Linked DNA regions of Caenorhabditis elegans. The protein of the gene in region 2 purifies or fractionates together with the protein of the main gene of each other region. This does not show direct contact. Each region holds a gene or a part of one and is shown on either strand. Other genes may lie near its edges.

The links.
Region 1: the proteins of prel-1 (region 2) and pept-1 fractionate together in Caenorhabditis elegans (co-fractionation; one large-scale study listed by BioGRID). This does not show direct contact.
Region 3: the proteins of prel-1 (region 2) and W01B6.8 fractionate together in Caenorhabditis elegans (co-fractionation; one large-scale study listed by BioGRID). This does not show direct contact.
Region 4: the proteins of prel-1 (region 2) and C25H3.14 fractionate together in Caenorhabditis elegans (co-fractionation; one large-scale study listed by BioGRID). This does not show direct contact.

Annotation. Positions count from the first base shown.
Region 1 is NC_003284.9:6,454,831-6,462,273, forward strand, and holds pept-1 (Peptide transporter family 1), read left to right. Parts: upstream 1-2,041; 5' UTR 2,042-2,202; coding exon 2,203-2,245; intron 2,246-2,873; coding exon 2,874-3,029; intron 3,030-3,455; coding exon 3,456-3,597; intron 3,598-3,640; coding exon 3,641-3,730; intron 3,731-3,943; coding exon 3,944-4,134; intron 4,135-4,181; coding exon 4,182-4,259; intron 4,260-4,306; coding exon 4,307-4,389; intron 4,390-4,447; coding exon 4,448-4,703; intron 4,704-4,952; coding exon 4,953-5,097; intron 5,098-5,151; coding exon 5,152-5,233; intron 5,234-5,278; coding exon 5,279-5,401; intron 5,402-5,582; coding exon 5,583-5,848; intron 5,849-5,899; coding exon 5,900-6,419; intron 6,420-6,478; coding exon 6,479-6,811; 3' UTR 6,812-6,937; downstream 6,938-7,443. Other genes in the region: Zinc metalloproteinase nas-33, read right to left, coding at 36-90, 223-304; K04E7.1 (Serpentine Receptor, class BC (Class B-like)), read left to right, coding at 7,199-7,313. UniProt on the Caenorhabditis elegans protein: Low-affinity peptide transporter that is necessary for proton-dependent uptake of di- or tripeptides, and to a minor extent tetrapeptides, in the intestine. Transport is independent of sodium and chloride ions.
Region 2 is NC_003280.10:11,493,858-11,497,180, reverse strand, and holds prel-1 (PRELI/MSF1 domain-containing protein), read right to left. Parts: upstream 1,490-3,323; 5' UTR 1,479-1,489; coding exon 1,405-1,478; intron 1,355-1,404; coding exon 1,254-1,354; intron 1,203-1,253; coding exon 1,021-1,202; intron 976-1,020; coding exon 700-975; 3' UTR 518-699; downstream 1-517. Other genes in the region: emc-5 (Membrane magnesium transporter), read right to left, coding at 1-200, 320-339; ooc-3 (Chloride channel CLIC-like protein 1), read left to right, coding at 1,867-2,040, 2,087-2,184, 2,235-2,697, 2,760-2,878, 2,927-3,033, 3,084-3,216, 3,273-3,323.
Region 3 is NC_003282.8:10,082,864-10,086,274, forward strand, and holds W01B6.8 (uncharacterized protein), read right to left. Parts: upstream 1,511-3,411; coding exon 1,323-1,510; intron 1,275-1,322; coding exon 1,140-1,274; intron 1,096-1,139; coding exon 934-1,095; intron 840-933; coding exon 720-839; intron 671-719; coding exon 628-670; 3' UTR 523-627; downstream 1-522. Other genes in the region: col-2 (Cuticle collagen 2), read right to left, coding at 1,622-2,247, 2,295-2,574; Kinetochore protein ndc-80, read left to right, coding at 3,284-3,396.
Region 4 is NC_003280.10:5,693,740-5,696,880, forward strand, and holds C25H3.14 (Acyl-coenzyme A thioesterase 13), read left to right. Parts: upstream 1-1,643; 5' UTR 1,644-1,654; coding exon 1,655-1,929; intron 1,930-2,307; coding exon 2,308-2,392; intron 2,393-2,447; coding exon 2,448-2,519; 3' UTR 2,520-2,619; downstream 2,620-3,141. Other genes in the region: eif-2D (SUI1 domain-containing protein), read left to right, coding at 1-23; C25H3.3 (Acyl-coenzyme A thioesterase 13), read left to right, coding at 467-741, 787-871, 914-1,000; C25H3.10 (F-box domain-containing protein), read right to left, coding at 2,955-3,141.

The DNA.
Region 1 (7,443 bases), on a different chromosome or scaffold from region 2:
TTTGCAATTCTTCTGGAATCAAAGTGAAATCTCACCGATGCCAAGGTGGAGGCGGTCCCCAAGGCCGAAGAGGTCCTGGAAAAAACCAATCTGTAAACCGGAACGTATTTCATTATTTTTATACTTCCGTTTTTATCAAATTCCAGGCAAAATTTTTCAATTTTCAGATAAAAAAATAAGTAAGTGTCAGCTGATGGCGATAATTTTTCAAGGAATTCTTACCTGGAGGAGGAGGCCGTTCAAAAAAATCAGGTTGCGTCAGACAAGTAACAAACTGTGATATCAGTATGCTTACAAATAACATTTTGCTCTCGGCGGCAAGTATATGCCAAGTTTAATCAAAATGAAAGACCAAGTAAAAAAATTTACAGCATGAACTAGTTCAGGGTTTAATCGGTAATAACAACACAAATTTGGTACGCGGGAAGACCTGTAAGGTGTTTGCATCGTTTTGTCTCATTCGGCCAATCAAATATAAAGGTCGTAGAAGTTTTAATTGGGGGAATCTTTGAGAGTGAAAAGAAGATGAAATTACGCGTGGCCTCAAAAAGTTTTTTTTTGATGGCAAGATGATTGGTGAACACAAACATTTGACTATCAGTGGATGTTACTTTGAAATATTATAAAAACTCAGCAAATGGCAATTTTCAAGATCATACCATGCAGAAGATCAAGACAGAAATCTGGGGATGAATCAGACAAAGTCGCCGAATTGATCCAAATTATGTTTCGCTGAACTTCAACTATTTTTTCTTGTGTTCTTAATCAGGGTTCCCAGAAAAATGATGGTCTAGACTCACGTACTAAGTTTATAGCATTCAAGTTTTGCATGTGTATTGTAGAAATAGACTTCTAACGTTTTAATGATAGACTACAAAAAAGGGTGGAAAATCTGGATATGGGTACTGTGTTAATAATCAACGTATTATTATTACTGTAGCTTTTGTCAATTCTACACTTTGCCTATCTACACATTGTATCTACACATCTACACATTGCAATTGCTTGCAAACGCCTTTTCATAAAACTGAAACGCAATTTTTTGTTAAAATTAAAAAAATTCTTAGGAAATATAGCAAATTCCTTGAAAGGTAAACACGTATTACTTGAAAATATTTCATTAATTGACACCAAACATTACATATGGATTATTGTCGTCAGTGGAAATTTTGTCCGAAAATTTTTATTGCAATCCAGATCATCATAAAACAGTCTAAATTTTCAAAGTTTTTTTTGAAAAAAAAATCATTAAACGTATGTTATCAAGTTTATACATAGTTTAGGCTCCTTGATAAATTAAGAGTAGTGTCGCTGTACAATGTTCCAGTACAAGTGTATAAGATTTAATTAGAATATTATTTTTTTAAATTTCTATTATTTTTCAAATCGACTACCAATTTTATGTGAGCAAAGCTGATTAATCACAACTTTTTGGCTGCAAATGAAAATACTTCAAAATTTATTTATTTAACATTATAGAAGTGGTTCCATACATTTTAACTACATTCGCTACTCACCATTTATGGTGCCTTGTTTTAAAAACACTCATTAACCCGTTTTCATATGTATTTTCAGCGTCTCGTTATGTTTACTGTGTGTTATAATTAACAATTCAATTTTTTGAATGGTGTTGTAAGATTTTAAAGATTTTGAACAAGAAAACAGAATAACCTTCCCCTAAATCATTTTTCATCATAAATCACGCCGACATGATATTCAGTCGGCTCATATCACCATTTTACACCCTTTTCAACTTTGTGCCTTTCTTGTCATGCTTTTCTCTTTACCCTCCACTCAATTTTTCTTTTTCTCTTCAGAAACAGTACATCTTAATAGGTGATAACATTGAATTACAGACAACCCGCATCAAAACTTGGTCTCCAACAGTGACACGTACTCTCATTCCTTTGCTCGCCTTCTGCGCTATCCGATTAGTGGAGCATGTAATGTACGAAAACGCTTACAAGAGGTGGTGGAAAAAGAAAGTGGAAATGATAAAATTTATGAGTGAAATATTTAAGCGAGTAGGAGAAGCACTATTAAGAACAGTGCGGTTCAACTTGATAAAGAGACGCAGCAAGAAATTGGTGAGGACACAGTCATCGAGCCAACGCACCTATTGCCCACCTCCATACTCCTCCTTCTTCTTCATTTCTTGCCTCAAATACCGCGACAGGCTCATTCCTCGTCAGTATCGCCACTATGGGCTACTCGGAGAGTCGCTCGGAGAGCGTTAGCTCGAAAGGTAACTGATTCATCATATAAAAGTTCAATAAAGCATAATACATTTATTAAGACGGTTAAGCCTGAATATTATACCACCCATGTAGTTTAATTTTTAAGATATTGTAACATTACACAGTATTTGAATGTTTTAATAGTTTGTTCAATTGTATTTCTCTCGAAATATGATTCGCATGTGGTCAATCATCCAGTCGCAGATTTTAAAGATCCACTTTCCAGTTAAGGCTGGGGTACCCCTCACGTTTTATACTCGTGACCCCTAGTTGCTAGCGACTACCATTAACAACTGGGCTCCTGTTGAAAACTGTAATCCAATAATTTTGTATTACTTATGAGTAACAAGAACCCTCAACTAATAAATCTAATATTAATGCAGATTTTGCAACACACTGTACGGAACAAAATAACTTACCTCCAGCATACCGAAACATCATTTCCAGATTGTTTTATTGTTTTGTAAAATACAATTCTTCTTAACAGCCGCTAAAACTAGTGATAATGGCATTTATCTAAAATTAGATGGATTATAACTAATCTTGCCGCGTGGGAAATTTTATCTATCAAAAAAAAAGGCGACAAGAGTAAATTTCAGAGTTTTTGATCGAAAATCGACAGAACGAGTTTTTCAGGCAAAACATCATACGGCCATGAACTCGAAACAGTACCACTACCGGAAAAGAAAATCTACACAACATGGCCTGATATGATCAGGCATTGGCCTAAAACAACACTGTGCATCGTGTCCAACGAATTCTGCGAACGATTCTCATACTATGGAATGAGAAGTGAGTTGCTTTATTTGTTAGGGTAAAAGTGTAAAGGATATAATAGATCCTTTAAACAGCCTTAAACATTTCTGATGTATCAATAATCTACAAAAAATATTTTTATTTGTACATATATTTTTAGTTTAGTTTAAGAGGTAAGGTGAAGAAAAAGTAGAGTTAAACCTTATTTTGATTTTCGGCCGGTGGGTGGACATTTTCAGATAAGGGTATTATCAACATTTACTTTAAGTACATGGTACTCAAAAAGTGAATTTCCTATCTACATGCCAGTATATTTAAAAATCGAAAGTTTTGACACATGAAATGCAAATAAGACATTTTTTCACCGATATCACTAAAAGGTCATAATCCGGTTATTACCATAATGATTATGACGTTGGCAGTACAGAAGATCAATTGAAACGTGACACGAAAAATTTGCAGCGGTCTTGACATTCTACCTGCTTAACGTACTAAAGTTCACCGACTCACAATCTACGATCTTCTTCAATGGATTTACTGTGCTTTGCTATACCACACCACTTCTCGGATCAATTGTTGCGGACGGATACATTGGAAAATTCTGGTATGTAATAATTGTTGTTTTGCACTCAATAACGACTTTTCAGGACAATCTTCTCTGTCTCAATTCTATACGCAATCGGACAAGTCGTGCTCGCTCTCGCTTCTACTAAGAATTTTCAATCTTCAGTTCACCCGTAAGTGATGCTTGTTCCAGTATTCGACGCATAAACTTATCATGCAACTTTTCCGTCTTTACGAATTCCTCTCGATTGAAACAAGGCATGATGATAAGAACTTCAACCGTGGCAACTTTTGCCCGACAGTGCACGCGCCACATTAAACATTAAAAAACTGAAACCGAACAAAATTAAAAAGGGTTCACAAGAAATAAACTGCTGAATTTTCAGATGGATGGATCTGTCTGGATTACTGATCATTGCGTTCGGTACCGGAGGAATCAAGCCATGTGTGTCTGCATTCGGAGGAGATCAATTCGAGTTAGGACAAGAAAGAATGCTCTCACTCTTCTTTTCCATGTTCTACTTTTCCATCAACGCAGGATCTATGATCTCTACTTTCATCTCTCCCATCTTCAGATGTAAACTTGACAATTCTTAAAACACTATTAGAGTACAATAATTTCAGCTCAACCATGCCTTGGACAAGATTCCTGCTACCCAATGGCTTTTGGTATTCCGGCTATTCTTATGATTGTTGCAACACGTGAGATAAAATATTCAAAAATCACATTGACTATTAAACTCTTACAGTGGTATTTATGGGAGGTTCATTTTGGTACAAGAAGAACCCACCAAAGGACAACGTGTTCGGAGAAGTATCTCGTCTTATGTTTGTAAGTTTTTGTTTTGTTTTATTTCTAAACTGCTTTGAAACCAAGATTAAATATTCAGAGAGCTGTTGGAAACAAAATGAAGTCAGGATCCACACCAAAGGAACACTGGCTCCTTCACTACCTTACTACTCACGACTGTGCTCTTGATGCAAAATGCCTCGAACTCCAAGCTGAGAAAAGAAACAAGAATCTGTGCCAAAAGAAAAAATTCATCGATGATGTCCGTTCCCTACTCCGTGTTCTTGTCATGTTCTTGCCAGTACCAATGTTCTGGGCACTTTACGATCAGCAAGGATCTGTCTGGCTCATTCAAGGTTTGTAAAGTTCTAGATAACAATTTAAAAATGATCAAATTGGGGAGTCAGCTGCAGAATTCCTTGTGGTGCACCCACTGGGTTTTAGCTTAAGCTACAATCAAGCCGGGGGGCTAAGTCAGCCGTTGATTAATCTAATTCCCAGCGTTGGCTTAGTGAACCTAGGAGTGCAATTTTGTGATTGCTAGCGACCACCACTACCGACTGAGACATCCCCGCTCTTCACATGTTAAAAATGTGTTTTTTCAGCTATTCAAATGGATTGTCGTCTTTCTGACACCCTTCTCCTTCTTCCGGATCAAATGCAGACATTGAACGCCGTGCTTATTCTTCTCTTTATCCCACTCTTTCAGGTCATCATCTACCCAGTCGCTGCCAAGTGTGTCCGACTTACGTGAGTTTTCATTGAAATAAAATTATTTGTGTATAATGAATTATTATATTTTAGACCTTTGAGAAAAATGGTCACTGGAGGGCTTCTCGCGTCACTTGCCTTTTTGATCACTGGATTTGTTCAACTTCAAGTCAATGTAATTTCAAATAAAATTGTTCCATAATTTATTAATTCTTTACAGACTACTCTTCCAACTCTCCCGGAAGAAGGAGAAGCATCAATTAGTTTCTGGAACCAGTTTGAAACTGATTGCACCATTACCGTTATGTCTGGAATTCACAAGAGAGTTCTTCCCCATGACAAGGTTTGAGATTCGAATTTGATTCTTTTCACTTTTAACTTTCTCCTCCTAAGTTCTAAACGAAAGATCATGCCATTTTAAGTGCTGATAAGAAAAAAGGAAGTCAGAAAAAGTTATCGTAAAATTATTTAATTTATTGCCTTTGTCATGAATTACTATACGTATTTACACAACAACGTTTCAGTATCTTCACGAAGATAAAAAGAACAAGTCTGGAATTTATAATCTTTTTACAACAAAATCCCCCGCAAAAGGTAATGGCGATTGGACTCTCACATATGACCTCAGCTATGACGGCGCTTGCGGAGATACATCAAAATTGGAGAAAACTGTTAAAGTGACTGCCAAGAGCAAGAAGATCATCTACGTTGGAGTCGGATCATTTGGATATTACCAAAACACAGCTAACACTGATAAGCCAACTGATGGAACTGGAGAATTCTCTATGGGGTAGGGGTGTTCATAACACGGAACAATGGTTAAATAATATATAAATTCCAGAATTGTCACTGTATTCAATTCTTCATACGGAGGAAACTTTGCCATGTGCCGTCAAAATACAAGCGACTTTGATGTTAACCATCCATGTAATCCAAGACATCCTGCTGACTTTTACTTCTGGGAAACCGATTATAATAGTCATACCGATGACAGAGATCAAAACGCTACAATTACTGGATCTCTTAGTTCCCAACCGGCTGTAACTTACAAGCAGAAATCTGTAAAGCCAGGATATTGGCAGTTGTACTACCTTTTGAATACACCAAAAGATGTAGACCGGCAGACTTACAACAAAACAGCAACACTCGTTGCTCCAACAAATTACGGTTTTCACAGAGTTAAGCAGGGAGGTGTGTTCATCTATGCATTGACCGGAACATACGAAAATCCAAAGATCCACGAGCTTCAAATTGTACAGTCCAATAGTGTGTCGATTCTTTGGCAGATTCCACAAATCGTTGTCATCACGGCAGCAGAAATTTTGTTCTCAATTACCGGATACGAATTTGCATATTCTCAGGTAATGTTAATAGTTAAAATTTATAATTTATAATGCTATTCTAACTGTAAATATTACAGTCTGCCCCATCAATGAAAGCTCTGGTACAAGCCCTCTGGCTCTTGACCACTGCTGCTGGAGATTCCATCATTGTAGTCATCACAATCCTTAACTTATTTGAAAATATGGCCGTCGAATTCTTTGTCTATGCTGCTGCGATGTTTGTAGTTATTGCCATCTTTGCTCTTCTCTCCATTTTCTATTATACTTACAATTATTATACAACTGATGAAGAGGACGGTGAAATTGGAGTTGATGATGAGGAAGAAATTGAGGATCACAATCCACGATATTCAATTGATAACAAAGGTTTCCATCCGGACGAAAAAGATACTTTCGATATGCATTTTTAATTAAATCCTAATATGTATAAATTTTCAATTTTGTTTTCCTAAACCTACTACTGTTGCTTTCCCTTATTGTGACATCGTGATAAAATTCGTTTTCACTTGAAAAAATAAATATTTCTAAAAACTTTGTTCATGTCCACTCTCACAACAACAGCCGAACTGCATCTTGATTCTGTCGTTTTGCGACCAAACACATTTCTTATTCCATTGCAAAAGTCTCTGAACTCAAAAATAGGAGCCAAATTTGAAAGTTGGCATGCGACGACCGGATGAGTATATCCGGTCTAAAGCTTTGTAAGCTAGTGGAGGACGGACAATAGCTTGTTGCCGGGGGCTCTCTCATTATCTGCTTTTTTTTGGATTTGCTCACGACACACTGGGCGACTAAATATGACGGATGAATTAACATCACCTTCTCTCAAATCTGGAAATGTTCTGGCTCTACTTAACACACTTTACACTTCCGGATTTGCAATGGCGTCCTCCAGCACTCCATTGCTCAAAGGTTTGACTCTTGGGCAAATAATTTTTTGTCATTTTAATTTTTTCACTTATAGGCAGAGTAGCAAGTTTTATTATCACGGTAATAGTCTTCAAACATTTTAATTAATCAATTAAATTTGATGAATTAAAAC
Region 2 (3,323 bases):
GATCCTTCTTTATGAAAAGGAATGGATTGGCCAGGAAGGAAGTTCCGTAGATCAGTGCAATCAAGGAGATAACTGTCTGAGCGACGACGTCGGATGGGAGATTGATGAACGGTTGCTCAGTGAGACGCAGGTAGAAACGGTGTTGGGCGGCGGAATAGGCACAATGGAGCAATGAGAGAAGCGAGACGATTGTGATCAGGCTGCAACAGGGGATTTTCTTTTGATATCTATGTCTCTTTTTCTTGTGATTGATGGTTATTTTTTGCTGATTCAAGTGGAACAACTGCCGTGTTCCAGAAACTTTTGGGAGGTCACTCACCGGTAAATAGTACTCGCCATATCGTTGATCGAAGACCAAGAAGCTTTTTGAAGGAGTTTTGAAAAGCCTTATTGAGAAGAGCCTAAATATTGGAGATTATGATAGATTATAATGTAATTCAGACAAAAAAGGTCAAGAAAGATAACAATAGCTGGTAAATAACCAGAAAATAGCCAAAAAAAATTCAAAAAATAAATTGAATATGTACATTTATCAGGAGAGATTGAGAGCCAAATAACAAACAAATAATGGTCTCAGTTCAATGCAAAGAATGTGCAGAAGATTCAGTAATTCTATGAGAATTGAGATTTTTTTGGGGGGACATAAATGAAAATAACGGGAAAAAGTGAATGTTTGAGATTTATATTCAGTATGGCTGACTAGACATCCTCTTCGCATTGGACATGAGTGACGAGATTTGACGATGACTTGATAATCTTTTCCTTGATCATTTTCATTTTCTCATTAGCAACGTTTTTGACTCCAAATCGCTCTTCTAGCTTCTCAAACAACCCTTTCGTTGTGTTATTGATCGATTTTTTGAAGCCCATTAGTAGGACTTTCTCGTAAACTGAGCTCATTCGACCACAATCGATTGAAACTGTGACACTTCGCAGTACGTCAGTGAGAAGGGCTGGGTGATGCTGCTGATTATCCTGAAAAATAACAGTAAATAGAGATTTGAAATAACAATGATAAACCTCGGATGATTTGTAAATGCATCGTTCATGGAGTTGAAATAGAGAAATGTGTGAAACATTTCGAGTGTATGTTACGAGTTTTTTCGATACTTTATCATAAACACTTTCTTCAATGACAGGAACAACTTGAATATCTGTCATTCTCGAAATCCAACGAGGAACACGTTTCAAAATCGAGCTTCCTGAAAAATTATGCGAATAATTTACTGGCTCTTGTAATATCAGCTAAATACCTTGCTTGACAATCAATTTTTTAGTGACAATAGTGTTGTCAGTGATCTGGCGTTCGAGTACATCCTCCGAAATGATGTGTTTTGCATGAGAATTTGGGTATCTGAGGGTTTAGAAATTGAAATTACCATTTTCCGAGATTTCCTGCCTCACCTGTCCCAAAACGCACTGGCAACCTCATCAAATGAATAAGGGAACGAGGTATTCGGAGAATCCCAAAGCTTCATCTTGAAGTTTACTGAAAAACAAGAAAATTTGATGAAATTATTGCAAAAATCGATGAGAAAAGTGTGGAAAACTGTGGAAAAGAAAATAATGAATGCAAATTTCTCGCGTACGCAGGCATCGAAATTCACGACAATTCTGCATACACCAATTGTCAACCGTATTATACTTATTAATTTGCCTTCTGAAAACTTGTTTCGCAATTCTTGAAATGTTTCGATTTTACAATTTTCTGAATATAAAAAGTGAAGTTTAAATGCGAATTATCTGAAAACTCGGAAAAACACAACATTTTATTGATCAAACAACTATGTTATCTTATGAACTCGCCTGTCAGTTGCTGAGCGTGCTGTAAACATCTTTTCTCTTTCAACTTTCCGCTTGTTTCAGATGAAAATAATATGGGTCACACTTCTACTCCTCGTCCCGCAACTTTTCGCAACTCAAGACATTGACGAAGAATTTACACATGAAAATGTGTGGAAAGATCCGAATGATCCAACTTCTGGAGAAAGCCCGCCAGCGTCAAAACGACTTCTATCTGTTCGAAATCAAGTTCAGAAGGTAAACTAAAAGCTTTAAAGAAATCCGTAAATAACCCATTCAATAGTTTCAGCCTGATCAAAGTCTTCGTCTGATTCTTCGACAACTTCTCCACGAAACCAAAATTGACTATCATTTGGAAGGTTCAATTAAAAAAGATGTACAGTGAGTATATTTTCTTCTAGTTCCGATATATTTTAAGCTTTGAATTGCAGAATTAAAATATCTCGGCACAGCATGTCGGTTCTTTCGAAGTATTTAAAAAATGATGAAGCAGATTTGGCTGAAGAGAGAGAAGCCGTCCGATCCGCGTTGTCAAACATTTTCAGCGTGAAGCCTCCAGCTCCAGATCGTACTTGGCAGGATACATTTGTGACTCTCCAACCTTTCATTTTCACACTGAACATCTTCATTTTGCCCGCGGCTGCTTTTGTTGTTCTTCGATCAATCGTTCGGCCACGAAACTTTTGGATTCTCGTTCTCTCAACTGCTCTTCTTGTTTCCATGTATTCTGGTTATAGCAAAAAATATCAAGAAGCAGAATCACGAAGATTTGCACAATTCCAAGAGCATGCTCATGATTCTTGTGCTACAGAAGGATTACTCTCAAGAATGGTTGAAATCCTCGCATCGCCTTTCCAATATCGGCAAAAATCAAAATGTTTAAAGTACATTGAGGTTAGTTTTTGTTTTATTTCTTCTTTGTTGGGTTAAATTATTTTAAATGTTGTAAATTTCAGAGTCAAACCATATCGATTTTCCACGAGATTTCTATCATCGAAGTGTTTTCTGAGACTATTTCCGGAGGATTCTTTGCGTTTTTTTCTGGTTCTGCGAAGCACTTTAATTTATTCTTCAGGTATTTTTTGACGAATTCATAAAAAAAGCTGTAAATTAATTTTTCCAGAAATCTATATGACGGTGCTCCATTGATAGCTCAAATCGTGATGACAATCTTCCTTGTTCTAATGCTTGGAGCTATTCGAACTCCATTCTTTAGTTATGAACCGATTTGTAAGAAATTTTAATTTAATAGTTAAATAACAAAAACTAATATTTTTCAGGGCTCAACTTCTGTAGTTCCAGTATTGGAAAAATCGCGGGTTGGCTGGATGGAGAACCTCCACAGCAGCCAGCTCCCCAACTGCTTATAACAGCAAAAGAGATGAAAAGATTAGAACAGGCAAGAAATAAAAAGTATGATTGCGGTGTTTTTCCTGTTAAATTGTGTGAAATAACGAATATTATTTCAGACCCGAAATGATAAGTTATCCAACATCGGAGCGAGAAGACGTCGTGAGTGG
Region 3 (3,411 bases), on a different chromosome or scaffold from region 2:
CGCTTCTTCCAGTCCGATCCTCTTGGAATCAATGCTCCACCAACACCAGATGAAGCAGGTCTTACTGAAAAAAGTGGAAAGAAGCATGGAAAGAAGTAAACTATGATTTTGAATAAAGAATTCGATTATGAATTTGTATTGCTGAAGTTAAAAGAAAAATTTATATCCTCAAGTACAGTTGGCTCCTCCGATTAGTCTATCATTTTAGACCTTATGAAGATTCAATATTTTTCAGGCAGATTTCTGATTGAACATTGATCTTTGGGATTCTAAGTTTAACTGGAGAAAATTAAAGCTTTTCTCACTTCAAGAAATTTTCTAATCTGGTTTTACTGTTGACAACATGAACCTTTGAATCTGTTAGTAAAAGTTATAATATTTTTCTCCCAGAGGGAGAAAAGAGACACACTTGGTTAACGTTTCGACTGGCACTGGCTTATTTAACAACTCGGTAAGAGCGTTTCAAAACGGAAGGAGACCAAAAAGATTATCTAACATGCATAAAATTTGGAAATGTAGTGAATTGCATTTTATTTCTGTGTATTTAAAACTATAAAAAAGAAATTTTATAAGCAACGACTTTATTTTTGCTCAAGTCTAATCAATTCTTCAAAAAGTTCCAAACAATCACGGGATATACGATGTTTTTTCGTCCGGATCATCTGGCTTTCTGAAAAACAAAAATGATTTCGCTACACTTTTTTAAACAATTTTCTTACGTGGCTCTTCGTTTAACTCTTTTCAAAGTATCAGCGAATTGTGCTTTTCTAGTTGGTGCAGTGTGCAAGTCTGTTTTTTGTTTGTTTGCTGGCGTGAGGATGTTGCTGGATGTTTCATCTCTGAATAAATACTTAGGGTATTTGGATTACTAATAATAAAGCCTACTCTACATTCTATAATTTAAAAATCTCATTTGATAGGCGATTTACTCACTTTGCTGCCTTTCCCAATGGTACATTGATAATTTCAGTTTTTGCAGATTCCGTTTCAGATTTCTGTGAATTTCTCAAAGAAACTTGATTGTTACTTGAGATCCTAGAATTGGTAAATCTCTGAGCTTGCGGTGCCCGGCGTGGTACTTTTAGAGAATCAATTCTGAACAGTTTCAAGATATAATTATATTGGATATTGAATCTTACACTGTGATTTTCTCCTTTTTCATACTTTTTTCACTCGATAATCTCCTCTCACTTTTCTCAGAAATCAATGAAGATTTTGACGTTGCCGCTGGTTTACATGCTCTTTCAGATGACGTCGTTTCTCGAGAACTCTTACTTAATTTTATTAACTCTTTGATGTTTTTTTTTTAAATATTGACCTACCTCTTCTGTGAATTTTTAGAGACACAAGTCGTTCCAATGATGAGTTGTAACATTAACGACCAGAATAAAAACAGAATAATTGATATTTGTGAATACAAGCACATTATTTTGCTTGAACACCCCTCAGATGTTATATTGAAATATTGAGAAATAAACGGAAATTTTGAAAATGGAAAATTATTGAACATATTTCGAGGATTACGTTTTTAAAAATATTTCTTCGTGTGGTATGTAGATGTTATAAACAAAGAAGTTGAATGAAAAATGCTTTATTTGGCACAAACGGCACGCTTCTAAATTTAGCGGCGTCGGGTTCCGTCCTCAAAGAAGACTCCTCCGTCGATAGCACAATACTTGGGGCAGATTCCCTTCTCTCCTTCTCCTCCTGGCTTTCCAGCGGTTCCTGGTCCTCCTGGGTTTCCGTCAGCTCCTGGTGCTCCAGCAGCTCCTGGTGGTCCCTTTGGTCCAGCTGGTCCTGGTCCTCCGGTTCCTGGGGCTCCGTCATTTCCGGCTGGTCCGGCTGGTCCTGGTGGTCCAGCTGGTCCTGGCTCTCCTGGTCCTCCTTGCTCGGATGCTCCTGGTTCTCCTGGTCCTCCTGGGGCTCCTGGGGCTCCGTCGTTTCCGGCTGGTCCTGCTGGTCCTGGTGGTCCGGCTGGTCCTGGGCCTGATGGTCCGGCTGGTGATCCTGGGTTTCCATCTGGTCCCGGTGGTCCTGGTGGTCCGGCTGGACCAGCTGGTCCTGGTGGTCCTCCTGGGCATGGTTGGCATGGTGGTTGAGTAACTGGCTCACATGGAGCTGATGCTCCTTTTCCTGGATTTCCTGGGGCTCCTGGAGCTCCTGGCTTTCCTGGCTTTCCTGGTTTTCCGGGAGATCCACCTGGTCCTGGTGGTCCAGGATTGCAGCATCCATCACATCCTCCGCCGCCTGAAAATGTATTCAAATACTTAAACTCTGTGAACCAAGATCCTTACCTCCGCCTCCGCCTCCTCCAGCTCCTCCAGTGGAATAAGCTTGACGAGCAACACGAGTATTGTTTCCTGGAGCATCCTTAATAAGATGCACCTCACTCCAGATATCACGAGCAGAAACCTTGCAGAAATTAACATCAGTGTGAATCTGTTTCTTCACATTATTAACATAGTTATAAACCATTGGCAATGTGATGAAAACAGAGACAACGGCGACAACCGAGAAGGTGACTGCCGAATAGGCAACAAATTTATAAGCTTTGATACGAGCGTCGATGTCCATGATTACTGTTGGAGGGTGAGTGATGGACTGAAGAATTCCAAAAGAACTGATGTTTTTATACTAGAGACGTCCATGGCTATTACTTGGAACTGGTATAATTGTTCTTGTTAAGGAGAAAGAAAAGAGAAAGAATAAGAGGATCCAGTTCTGTGTTATCACTCCATTGGTTAAAGATACTGGTTTATTATTGTAAACTATATCAGTTTCTCGAAGAAAAAAAATTTGACGTAATTATTGGCTGGAAACTTCAATTACAAAAATGCAAATATTAAGGGGCAACTTCTGTTTATCAATATACCGACTGGAAATGATCTAACCATTGTAGGAAAATTCAATTCTATTGTATATTAATCGTGTTTGAAATTATATCTCAAAAGTTCCAACAATTCCTTCATTCTGGAATCTCCGGAAATCAGTTTCCTCGCGAGTGCAGCGTCTCTGTAATGTAAGTGCGCTCCAATCACAATTGCTATAGCGGGAAAATTCAAATGTGACTTCTCTCTCTCTCTCTCGATATTGTTTTTACTCAAATTTCTATTTTCGTTTTTTTTTTCATAAATATTTCTGTAAAAATGTTTTTTCTTCTTTAAGTTGGAAAACAAAGTTCTCAATAGTTGCCAGAATTATTTTTTTAAATTTTATATGCGTCGCCTTCCGTTAGTATATTCAGTTCTGGTCAATTTTATTCGCTCATTACAGTTTCTTGACAATGTTTGGAGATCGAAGAAAAACGGGCGGCTTGAATCTCAACGGACGTGCCTCAATCGCTATCACTCCGACTAAAAGATTCACCGATTATACTGGATCAACATCAGTCAGAAAGTAAAAATATCCAAT
Region 4 (3,141 bases), 5.8 Mb from region 2:
TGGCGGTGAAAAAGAAGAAATAAGAAAATTTGGAGAAATTTGCAAATTCAAATAGTATTAAATCTGTTCAATGTATTCCCTCACACCTTAATTTTTTTGTTTTGAAATTCGGTCTTTCTTTATTTATTAAATACCCGTGTGTTTCTAAGTATGGGTTGTATTCGTATTTTCGGTTCCATAAAGATTCATGAAGAACTTTCTCTTATCGTTTTGAACATATCCGCTTGGTGAATTATCAGTGCCAATTTAAATATTACACATACGCGAACATTTTCGATTTTCGGGCAGAAAAAAAAGGTATTAGGTCTCGCCACGCTTTTTTTGTGAGATAAAAACGAGGGTGTGCCTTTAAAGAGTACTGTAAGTGTCGAGACCTGGTGCCGCATTTTGGACCCAAGATTTCGCGTCTGGGGGATAAATTGTTCTAAATTTTTAAGATGTTAATCCATTTTCAGATTAAATCAAAATGCCTTCAAAATACATGCAATTGGCGAAGGAAATCATCAAAAATTATGGAACCAAGGGTCAATTCGGATGTGTTTCCGGAGCAGGAAATGTGAGAGCAGTTCATGCGGAGGAAGGAAATCTACGAGTGGAATTTGAAGTTGAGAAAGATCAGTCAAACCATTTTAACACTCTTCACGGTGGATGTACATCTACGCTCATTGATATTTTCACTACTGGGGCTCTTCTTCTCACAAAACCAGCTAGGCCAGGAGTATCTGTTGATTTGCATGTTACGTACGTAAAGAGAGAAGAAAATTGTCGAATTTGATAGATTTTTAGATACCTGACCGCCGCTAAAATTGGTGAGACCCTTGTGCTCGACTCCACCGTCATCAAACAAGGAAAAACTCTTGCATTCACAAAGGTAAACTTTAAGAAAAGTTTTAAAAATATTATTTTTTTCCAGGCAGAACTCTACCGTAAAAGTGATAATGTAATGATTGCAACTGGAGTACATACCAAAGCATTCCCAACTGTGAAGAAAGCAAACTAATCAATATATTCCAAGACATGGAAATTTGCGATCCGTGCGCCAAAAATACGGTATCCGGTCTCGACACAAAATGTTTTGGTTAAATGAAAAAAGGTGTGCTTCTTTGATGAGTACTGTAATTTTAGACTCTCGTTGTTGTTGAAATTTCATTGATTTTTCAACAATTTCCCATCAATTTTCGATAAAAAAAACATTTATTAATTTATTTTAAAACTCCCATACATCAATTAAAACTTTTTTTTTTCAGAAAATCGCGAAAAAAAATCAAGAGTTGGAATTTCCAGTAAACTTTAATGGCGCACACACCTTTTCCCGTTATAAAAAAAGTTTTCGTGTCGAGACCGGCTACCGTGATTTCTGCCCAAAAATCGCAAAATTTCGTGTCTGGAATACCTCCTAAACATAATTCCTAGACACAATTTCTAATTTGATCGTTTTGAAAAACATTTCCCTTGTGTACAAAACTATTATTCCGCAATAAAATTGTAAAGAATTCTTGTTTTTTTTCCAATTTTCCATAAATACTCGTTTTAATCCGAGTACTCTGTACATGTTTTGATGGTAAGAGAATCCACGCAAGTCTACGTGGTTATGAGATTTTTGTTTTGAAACAAATATTTTTAAATCATATATTTTTTCTAAGATTGCTTGAAAATGGCATCAAAATACATGCAAATTGCGAAGGAAGTGATCAAAATGTTCGGGACAAAAGGACAATTCGGTTATGCGGCTGGAGCACGGAATGTGAGAGCAGTTCATGCGGAGGAAGGAAATCTACGAGTGGAATTCGAAGTTGAAAAGGATCAGACAAATCAATTCGAGACACTTCATGGTGGATGTACAGCAGCACTTATCGATTGTTTCACAACTGGTGCTCTTCTACTCACAAAGGAAGCGAGGCCTGGTGTTTCAGTGGATTTGCATATTACGTGAGTATCTATATCTAAATAGAGGTTTCCTAGATTATGCAATGATTTGAAACATATAAGTCTTGCGAACAAGTGCAATATTTAAGCCAAAATTCAGTGTGGGGTCCCACCACGACCGAAATGTTCTCAGCTACGGTACCAACGAACTTTTTCTAATGTTTTCTAATTTTTCCATTCCAACCTTTAATTTAAAACTACAGATTTATTGCAAAACCAACAAAAAAGAGAAATCTACCGTACTCACGAGTACGGTAACTGAAAAGTTTCGCTCATTCTAGTACCCCCATACCTATATTTTAGCTTTATAATCGTTCATTTTCGTAAACTAATAATGCCAGAAATTCAGGAGAAAATATTTATGATCATCGTAACTTCCAGATACTTGACAGCTGCAAACATCGGAGAAACTCTTGTACTCAACTCTACTGTCATCAAACAGGGGCGCTCTCTTGGATTCACTAAGGTATCATATTTTTTTATTCTTGAATATTTCTGATTACAAAAGTGTTTTATTTCAGGCAGAACTCTATCGTAAAAGGGACAATGCAATGATTGCTACTGGAGTCCACACCAAGGCGTTCCCAAAGTGATCGCTCACCATAAAATAAATAATGTTATATGCAAATTAAACTAGAATTATTTTACCATGTATTCCATTTCATTTCAGAAAATAAATATCTTTATCAATATATGTGTTTGTTTGCCATTAAAAAACACAAATATCGGAAGTGAGAGATCATTTGTTGTAAGGATAATGTGTTTTAAAGGCTCCGTATCACACGCCAACGCTCTGAGTTGATGCTCAGTGAAATACCAAAAGTGACGAAGAAGCTCAAAATTCATATTTTTTGGATGCAAATCATAGAAAGAAGTCTTATAAAAAATTCCATTAAAAAATTCCGAACATATCTTGCTGCGGTTATGTTGGAGGCAAGAAAAAAAAAAGAAATCATAATCGCCTTCGATCACTTTTTTTATACACATTGTTTATCATGAAAACTTATTCCAAAACAAGATACCAAAATTCACCACAAATATTCTAAAATTTTCAATTGCCTTATAACCAATGATGGCTGTTTCGAGAAGTTTGTACTTTTGAAGAATCCAATTTCAAGTTCCTCTTTTCCTTCGTCTAGATCCCGAGACACTTTCCACGTCGTTGGTGTTTTCTGGCAACTCTCATTTTTCAGTAAAATCAATAATTCGGGAATT